2 linked regions of the Drosophila melanogaster genome follow. The protein of the gene in region 1 interacts with the protein of each later gene in a pairwise test. Each region holds a gene or a part of one and is shown on either strand. Other genes may lie near its edges. The genes, in order: Gem4b and CG8366.

What was found.
Region 2: the proteins of Gem4b (region 1) and CG8366 interact in a two-hybrid assay, tested with the Drosophila melanogaster proteins (one large-scale study listed by BioGRID).

Annotation. Positions count from the first base shown.
Region 1 is NC_004354.4:3,939,046-3,945,078, reverse strand, and holds Gem4b (gemin 4b), read right to left. Parts: upstream 4,233-6,033; 5' UTR 4,020-4,232; coding exon 3,902-4,019; intron 3,849-3,901; coding exon 1,686-3,848; intron 1,627-1,685; coding exon 1,172-1,626; 3' UTR 814-1,171; downstream 1-813. Other genes in the region: Glos (gaulos), read right to left, coding at 5,410-5,864, 5,924-6,033. UniProt on the Drosophila melanogaster protein: Component of the survival motor neuron (SMN) complex that catalyzes the assembly of small nuclear ribonucleoproteins (snRNPs), the building blocks of the spliceosome, and thereby plays an important role in the splicing of cellular pre-mRNAs.
Region 2 is NT_033778.4:15,953,069-15,957,221, forward strand, and holds CG8366 (uncharacterized protein), read left to right. Parts: upstream 1-1,971; 5' UTR 1,972-2,049; coding exon 2,050-2,186; intron 2,187-2,254; coding exon 2,255-2,448; intron 2,449-2,505; coding exon 2,506-3,542; 3' UTR 3,543-3,568; downstream 3,569-4,153. Other genes in the region: Strn-Mlck (Stretchin-Mlck), read right to left, coding at 1-152, 358-769, 834-1,705, 1,765-1,810, 3,571-3,739.

The sequences.
Region 1 (6,033 bases):
TAATAGACTCTCTGATGTAGATAGATACTAATATGACTTGTCCACTGCTTGCTATGATTTAACTTTAACTTTATTTATAAACATTTTCATATGATATTTTGTATTTTGCTCAGCTGAAAATTAAATGAAGATATTTTATAAAGTATTGTAATGTATTATTCGATAATTAATTATTTGTATTATTATTGTAATGTTTTATTCGATAATTAATAATTGACATTATAAATATTGCGACTTCTCCAAAGTCAACTGCAGTTTTTTAAACAGTGGTCCTATTTAGCAAATGTATTTAAAATAATGCGATTCGCATGCGGCATTTGAGTTTGAAATCTTTTCGATACTTGTCAAGCATTGGTCGTTAAATTACCTTGTAAAATATATATAGTGTTTTTTAAGACAAGATATTTTTTCTATTTTTTTTTTTATTTAGGTAATTTGAAAATGTTATTAATAACAATTTGCACCAAAATTTTCCTTTCCCTGAATAATGCCATTCAGCTTTTGACAGAATATAAATTAGTTAAATTTATAACATAACGAGTACATGAAATTTAAAAATGTATTAAAATAAATTTTCCTAGTTTTAAGTTACAATTTTGCAACAGGAAGCAAAGCAGTCGAAGTAATACATAAAAATACGAATAAAAATAAGAACATGCAAAATTACAATAATTTTAAGCTTGCCAAAGCATTTATTTAATAGAACACAAATTTGTATTTGATGGTAGTATTACATATTTTATGTAAATATAGTCGGCCTTAAGGACACACAAAGTTGTAAAATAACCTGATATCAAATTATTCTGATGTTCAATCATAGCGTTTTGTATATTATATATATAATACATAATAATACGAAAAAAAAAGAACATGCAAAATTTTATTAATTTTCAGCTGAATAACTTCACTTGCTTGCCAAAGTATTTTTAGTAAGACAAAAAATTTGCATGGTAGTGGTACATTTGTTATGTGCATACAGTCGCCCTTTTAAAGGACATACAAAGTTGTAAAATAATCTGATATCAAATTATTCTGATGTTCAATCCTAGCGTTATGAATATTATATATGTTTTTAGTCATATAGAGATCTGACTGCCTAAGAATTAAAGTGTTGGACAAGCGGCGGAATTTCGATTTGGCTTAAGAAAATTACACTTCTAACAGCATCTCCTTAACACTTGGCCGCCTGCTGTTCCTGGATATTTATGCCGAATCGCACAGCGAAGGCTTTACTAGCTAGCTTCATAATCTCGTTGCGAATGGAGAATGGAGCCTTGGCCACAACGGCCATCAAATGATCCCAATGCTGGCGCTTCGTGATGGTCTTATTGTGTTTGGCGTGGCTCCGGAAGGCGATCAAATATTCTCGAAATAGGAATCTAAAGGCCATGAAAGCGGACTCGCTGTTCACCTTGACCACTGCATCGCTAAGATCGCCCATAACAGCACAATCGGCCCTTTTTTTAAGGAGCTTGTTGAAGAGATCGTTAGCCTCCTGTGCACTGGACTGAGTTAGCAATTTGAGAAAGGAGCGTGTGTCCTTTAAGGTGTCTTCTTTAAGGTAGATGAGCCAAAAGCCCTTGTGCTTTAAACTGTTCACTTGGTTCAAGATCCTCTGGCGGCATTCTGTGAAAGAGCAATAATTAGTAGGCTTTCGTCTTGGACTTACATTTATAAGAGCGCACCAGTGCCTAGGAATGTCAGATGAGACAGACCGTCCTGCCAATACCACACCGCCAGTTCTAAATTATCCACCCGGAAATCTTCAAAGGTGGCCAAGTCCCAGCGTAGGGCATCAATGGTTTTCATGACATGCGAGATCAGCTTCCAGTGTTTCAAACGCCACTCTGGCAAGCTGGCATTCAGATATGTGTAGTGCTTGGCCACCTTGACAGCTGGTGCATCGTCTCCGTTCTCCAATTTCGGGTGCTCCTTTTCGAGTGCATTTAACTCTGCAGTGCCTCGGGTGATTAGATTGCTTTCACCCAGACTAATCTGCTTGAGCAGTTTCAAGATTAACTGCAAGCTGGGCAAGTTCATGGGCTCTATAAACTTGGCCAAACCGTAGGCACACGCGTCTAGGAACCTATTTTGCGCCTGCCTAAGCTCATCCTCTCCGTAGGGACACCGTCCGTCTTTCAAACTAACGCACAGTTGTCGCGCTGACGTGTAGAGACCGTTGAGGATCTGTCGGTGGCCATATAGGTAGAGTGTAAACTGCAAGGCATACGGCTTTTGAAGTAGTTGCTCGTTCACCAAGATGTTATCGGCACAGGCGGAAATATGAAAAGCAGCATGCTTGGGACAAGACTGAGCTATGTGCCAGAATAGCTTCGAGAAGCGAGTATGCGTCACGCCCAAGTGGGAGAAATCAATCCAGGTCTGTCTTGCGTTCTCAAAGCACAGTACTAGAAATTTGGTTATCGGGAAGCGCTTATTATAATCCAATTGATTAAAGAAGCGTATGCGACGCTCCCGATGATCGGGAGCCTTGAAATTAAATCCTTGGGTAACGTTTTGCTCATCGCGCAATAGCAGTACTTCCATCTTGTCCTCGACATTTAATTGCATAAATAAGGGACGCAGTACTAGGCTTAGCAGCTCTTCGTAATCATCGTTGGACGAGGTCTCGTCCTCGTCATCCCCCTGATTTACTTCCGTAACGGATATGCCCTCGTCCTCGACCACCATTTCGGACTCCACCACCTGACCCAGGAAACTGAGTATTATCTGGGCATGTTTCTTGGTGAGCATAATTAAATGATTTGCCATCGTTTCCACGCACTCATCGTTACCAAAGGCTATGAAGCGGCTAAAGAGATTGTCCAGCCCGGCGAGCAACTCCTCATCGGTGGCCATACCGGAATCGAGAAAGACTAAGAGTTCACCCATTCTCATCTCGGCAACGCGCTGCTCCAATGTTTTTGCTGCATCCGCAAAGCTCTGCATCTGCTTGCAAACCGGATGCTCTCCGAGCAACTTATCTGATTGGAGTACTTTAAGCAATTCTGCCGTCTGTCTACAGATTAGCTCCTGGCAGTTATACAAAGCACTTTTCGATTTCATTTCATGCCAATACATATACGTGTCTACGCTAACGAGCTGAAAGATACGCTGCAGAACGTCTAGCAGTATTTGGGCGAAATGCCGCAGATCAGGCATGGGATCGCTTGAGTTGCTGTCACTGATGTCCTCGGTTATTTGGCTGTAGACGGCGAAGCAATTTGGTTTCTCCCGCTTTAATGGATCATTGAGGGTATACAAAAGGACTTCTATAAGGTGATCCATAGCCTTGGCCAGGTAAATCTTTCGAGTGGATGGACGCGGCAGCGTATGGAGGCGCTGTTTAGAGTCCAAGATATGACGATGTTCCATGCAGGCTATCTGGCGCAGCAGTTGCTTATTTTCTGCGGGCAAATTGCAGTTGACAATTGCGCGACCGGCTGCTCTGAGGGCGGCAGAGAGCAGCGGTAGTGTTTCCACGCAATCTGAATTAATGACCGACAGAGCCTCATTGAATGCCTCAAAATACTGGATGGTCAGCCAGCGGGGTCCACAAGCAAGGAATTCCTCCAGCGGCTCCATGAGACAGCAGTTAACGGCTATTGCGATGGTCAAGAACAGTGGGATAGGCGGAAGCTGGTTACACAAATGCATGACATTGGCGCTCCACTGCGATTTGCACAAGAAATAGTCGTGTGCGGTGTTCAGCACCAGGTACACCAGTAGTCCACGCAGTTGATTCATAGCAAAAGGATCCATTGTGTCTGGCGGCTGTATGATTAGATCGTGCTCCTCCAGCAGGTCCGTCACTTGGTCGCAGATCTTCTCAATGTGCTCATCGTTTCCTGAGAACAAACAATGTTCATATTTGGGCACTAACCTCTGGTACTTCACTTACCACTCCAGTAAATCATATCTTTCAGACACTTGGCCTGTTCGTTGTTGTCATGGAATATTTTCTTCAGCTGGACAAACAACTGGCAATTGTCCAGCGGGTGCTTCTCAGCAGTTATCATCGTGCTGCCGAAATTTCGCGTTTCGTCAAAACTCTTCCGAAGGAATTCAATTTTATGTGCGTCTTCTGTCAGATGACTATCGAAAATCGATAGTTTACCGGTGCGTACCGATTATCTTGCGTGCAAGGAATATTTTTTGAAAATGAAAATGTCCCTACAACAAAAAATTTCGCTTTGTAATAGACTCTCTGATGTAGATAGATACTAATATGACTTGTCCACTGCATGCTATGATTTAACTTTAACTTTATTTATAAACATTTTCATATGATATTTTGTATTTTGCTCAGCTGAAAATTAAATGAAGATATTTTATAAAGTATTGTAATGTATTATTCGATAATTAATTATTTGTATTATTATTGTAATGTTTTATTCGATAATTAATAATTGACATTATAAATATTGCGACTTCTCCAAAGTCAACTGCAGTTTTTTAAACAGTGGTCCTATTTAGCAAAAGTATTTAAAATAATGCGATTCGCATGCGGCACTTGAGTTTGAAATCGAGAGATAGATTTGGAATTCGTACATAAGAATACGAATAATAATAAGAACATGCTAAATTACAATAATTTCAAGCTTGCCAAAGTATTTATTTAATAGACAAAAAACTTGATGGTAGTATCCGCGCGTTCTAACGCACTGTCTCTCTTCTTTAGACGCCGTTCCGATTGCGCGGCCGCCTCCTGACGGCTCGACTCGCGCCCGTACTCTCCTCGACTATCCTCGCGTACGTGTGGCTCCTCGCGTGTTGTGACTGACTGCCCCAAGCTGCACTTGCGCCGTTCCTTTATAGGCCGCGGGGATCCCGTTATTTTCCCCTTTGCGCGTCCAACTAATTTGCCGTTAGTTCACAATGTGTGTCCTCTTGTGCGTGTCCAAAGTCCGCACCGTTACTGTTCGACCTCCGTGCCCTTGGCAGGCTCGAGTCCAAGGTCCAGCGCGGTACCGTTAGTTCACAGTCTCTCCGCTTTCCTGGCGTCCAAGGCCGCTCCCCTGCACCCAGATTTGTGGGGACGTAGACTCCTCACACATATTATTCTGATGTTCGATCATAGCGTTTTGTATTTTATATATGTATGTATGTATATAATACATAATTATACGAATAATATGAAGAACATGCAAAATTGCAATAGTTTTCATCTGAATAACTTCACTTGCTTGCCAAAGTATTTTTTAAATAGACAAAAAATTTGCAAGGCAGTAGTACATATGTTATGTGCATACAGTCATCCTTTTAAAGGACATACAAAATTGTAAAATAATCTGATATCTGGATTGAACATCATCCTAGCGTTATGATTATTATATATGTACGTCTTTAGTCGATTAGCGGCGGTGTTTCGATTTGGCTTAAGAAAATTACACTTCTAACAGCATCTCCTTAACACTTGGCCGCCTGCTGTTCCTGGATATTTATGCCGAATCGCACAGCGAAGGCTTTACTAGCTAGCTCCATAATCTCGTTGCGAATGGAGAATGGAGCCTTGGCCACAACGGCCATCAAATGATCCCAATGCTGGCGCTTCGTGATGGTCTTATTGTGTTTGGCGTGGCTCCGGAAGGCGATCAAATATTCTCGAAATAGGAATCTAAAGGCCATGAAAGCGGACTCGCTGTTCACCTTGACCACTGCATCGCTAAGATCGCCCATAACAGCACAATCGGCCCTTTTTTTAAGGAGCTTGTTGAAGAGATCGTTAGCCTCCTGTGCACTGGACTGAGTTAGCAATTTGAGAAAGGAGCGTGTGTCCTTTAAGGTGTCTTCTTTAAGGTAGATGATCCAAAAGTCCTTGTGCTTCAATTTGCTCACTTGGTTTAAGATCCTCTGGCGGAATTCTGTGAAAGAGCAATAATTAGTAGGCTTTCGTCTTGGACTTACATTTATAAGAGCGCACCAGTGCCTAGGAATGTCAGATGAGACAGACCGTCCTGCCAATACCACACCGCCAGTTCTAAATTATCCACCCGGAAATCTTCAAAGGTGGCCAAGTCCCAGCGTAGGGCA
Region 2 (4,153 bases), on another chromosome or scaffold:
TTAAGCTGCAGATCGAATGGGAGTCGAAGGTGGAGTCGGAGGTGGAGTCGTTGATGTCGCTGGTAAACACCTGACAGCTGTAGATGCCGGAGTCAATGTCGAAGGCGTCGTTGATTCGCAGGCAGAGGCGTCCATTGCCGTGATCAATGTAACTGCAGTGAGCAATGAAAGTGCCATAAGTATGTGGATAGTTCGAAACAAAGGGAAACCATTCGCTTTTATTATTCAATCCAAGCTAATCGCTGGAAATTGGGTGCTTATAAAAAACTGAGCAATTTAACAATGTTTTTATAACTAATTATGTATTCAAGTTATTACAACTCAATATATTTCAATGAACTAAAGATTTATACTCACTTGAACTCATCGCTGTCTGGCAGAATCTCGCCATTTCGCAACCAAACGTAGCTGTAGGGTTCATCGCATTCGATGGAGCAGCACAGATCGATCACCTCGCCCTCCAGCGATTTAGTAATCTCGGGCAGTCGTTCCGTGATGACAGCACGACGCCTGCGAATCTCCGTATTCGAGTCGTGGAAGGTGACGGTGGTGGAAGTGATGAGGGGATCGTGGTCGCCGCTTATGATGCAGGTGTACTGGCCTTCATCCTCGCGCGTCACATTGTCCACTATGAGCAGGGCCATCGAGTCCTGCAGCAGGATGTGAACTCGTTCCGAGGCCTCGAGCTCCACGTCGTTGTGATAGAATCTCACCGAGGGCACCGACGAACCCCGATAGCCACTTGCCAGAGCCATGCGTCCGCCAATTGCTGTGGGTGGCATGGTATCAATTGAAATAGTTAAGCTGTAAATTGGGCAAGGAGCAGCACCCACCTGTGGATGGACCCATGATGCGCCTGTACAAGTGGGCATTACGGCGGGAGGAGGAGGCACGCACGCTGCGCACCGAAGGCGACTTGGAGTAGCGGGAGCTGCGGATGACGTCCAAGCGAGCGGTGGCCTCAATACGACCGAAATCGTTCTCCAGCGTGACGCGATACAGGCCGGCATCGTCGAAGGTCACCTCATCGATCTCTATGATGCGAAGGTCATCGATTTCCTTGACGGCAATGCGCGGCGTGGGTGTCACAATCAGGCCATCCTTGTCCCATGTCGCCCACGGTGTGGGATGTCCGGAGATGGCGCACTGGAAGCGCACACTGTCGCCCTCCTCGACGACGCGATTGTAGGGAATGGCGAGAAACTTTGGCGCCGTGATGGCATTCCGGGCATCACTACGCCTGCGTTCCGCCACGCCGGACAGATCGATGCTGCTGGTGCGGTACGATAGGCGCAGGGGAGAGAAACTTCTGGCGGGCGTGGATCTCGGCGTAGAACGGGGCGTGGAGTGGGCGGAGAGCAGGCCACTGGGACGCGCTAGCTGGCGGCTGAGCATATTCTCCTTCTCCTCGGGCACATCCACTATAATGCAGGCGGAAGAGAGACTGCGACCCACCGAGTTCTTGGCCACGCACGTGTACTCGCCCTCATCCTCTGGATATACGCGCGGTATGCTCAGCGTTGCCTTGGTTCCATCGAAAGACATCACGTAGTCCCGATCGCTGGGCATAACATGCCCATCCTTTTCCCAGATGATGAACGGCTCCGGATCGGCCTCAACGTGACATTCCAGCGATATCGCATCCCCATCGCAACAGCGGAGGTTTCGCAAGTTGCGAACGAATCGGGGAAGGGTCTCGATGTTGCTGATTAATTGTTAAAGCTTGTTAATGACAACATATCTTGATAATAAGCTTGAACTTACCCATGTCTCGTGTGCACTTTATCCATGCGGCTTTTGTTGAGTATATCTATTGAAAAAAAGATATTATGCATTAGCACTTTGACTTAGTAAAAAAATATTGCATTTCGAAATTGGCGCCCATTAAACTGCTTGCCAAGCAGTGGTGATTAGTGTCTTGGCTATTTTTGTCAGATTCTTGCAAGAGTGCGAATATATCGATAATCGATAGCAGCTGTGGCCCAATGTTTATTTTTAGCACACCATCTAATTTTCTACTTCTTGTACTCAAATTTTGGTTAAAACAAAATGAGGGGCATGATAATTGTGCCCATGGACCTGGAACCCGGCTTCCGCAAAGCAGACATACACAATATACCCGCTTTGAACAGCGGAATGGTGTACAATTTTTGTCTATCCGGCGCATCTGAGAAATCAAAACAAATGTGAGTGCCATCCCGTTCGCACATATACCTACTGTGTATTCTATTAAAAATTGAATTTTTGCCAACAGACCAACGAATAGATGTGATCTCCTCACGGATTACGTCCAGGTGCGCAGACATGGCGACGTGTGCGAACTCAAGGGACTCGTGTTTTCTGCCACCGACTTCGCCAACACGGTAACTCACGCCAATGTATCGCTTAAGATCGTCGAAAGTGCTCAGATGATCATGGACGGTCAATGCAGCCTGTGCACTGCAGCATGTGAGAATGACTCCATTTGCCACTAATGTCTAGTTCCTAATCTTTAGTACATTACAGGTACTTGTGCCCACATCGTGGCCTTCACCTTCTGGCTGCTAAACAAGAGCACAGATCGAAATCCCTCGGCTGTGGTGGAGTTTTGGGGCCACGAGTTGGAAAATCTGGTGCAACCGGAGCCCACAACTGCTACTCGAATATGTGATATAATTCCCAAGGATGATGTGCGAATGGAAAGCGAACTAAACTCGAAAGAACTTAGCGCCAGCGAGGGAGAGGCTTTCCTAGTGACCATTCTGAATGAACTGGCCGACTGTGGCAGGGACTCGGCGCTCTACCGGCAATGTGTGGAGACCACCGATGAGTTCGAGCCCATGTTCGTACACCATGTGCTGCTCCGAGCAAATGAGTACAATGTCGTCGATCCGTCCAGCTATGTGCAACACATGGAGGCACAGGCACATACGGGTATTATCGAAAGTCTGTACGAGGCAACGCGAAGCAAATACAAATCCCGATTGTGGGTGGAGGTACAGTATATGCGCATCCGTTGCTCCATGATGCACATGATCATAAGCCGCAAAACCTCTGATGATGACGATCAAATCTTCAATATGATGTTTTGCAGAGGACGTGACAAGAATAACGAGGATCGGGTGCAGCAGAAGGAGCACAAGCGCTTCATATTGAAACAGACTGAGAAGCTGGAGAACAAGAACTACTTAGAATGCGGTCTGATCCTGCACGAGAACTTCCCCTTCCTGTGCGCCGCCCCTGATGGCATCACGGACGATCACATTGTCGAAATCAAATCACCAAAGACTGACGAGGACTTCGAGAAGTACCTCGAGGCACGCGAATCTATTGCACCCAAGTACATGGCCCAAATACAAATCCAGATGTTTGCGGCGAATGTTAAAAAGGCGCTCTACTGCGTGCTAAGTCCCACGTTCGAGAGCAACGGAGCACTACACTACGTTTGGGTACAAGCGGATCCGGAATTCGTTAGCAGTTTGCTGAGCATGGCTGAAGACTTCTGGCGGGACGTTGTCTTTCCCCGCCTATTGAATATCTACCCCCAGTGCCCAGGTCAATAAATACATACACATTCACTGTGCTGCTTACCTTTGGCGAATATTTGTAGCGATATTACAGCCTTGGCCTCGCCATGGCAATTGCTGGCTATCACGGAATAGGTGCCGGTGAAATCCAATTTGGCGCTGGGTATCTCCAGCCTGTACTCGGGTCCGTCTCCAATTCGCCGGAAGTGTGGCGCGTCCTTGTAGTACTCCGGCTGCGGGCGAAAGAAAATGTTCGGCGATCAGTGGGTCGAATTGCTCAAGGTCACGTCGCGATGTGCTTGGACTATAAGGACTTGTTGTGCGGCTGTCGCAGATCATGAATCACGACTGTCTTTATACAAATGTCGATGCCGTTGACGCTGACTCGACCGACGTTGTTATTATTGTGTTAAGCTTATGGCCATATAAGCACAAAATTCAGTTTCGAGACTGTCGAATAGGAAAACTGGTAATGGGTATACGTTGCCCACCCTGACCTCCTACTCCTCCTGCCTGCCTGCCTGCCTGCTCGCTCGCTTCCTTGGTCGACTTCGTGCGCGACAGTGGCTAATAATATTTTTTTGTGTATTTTTTTCCTTTTTGGCTCGCGTAATTGTTTGTTGTGCGAACAAGCCTGTTATTTGATA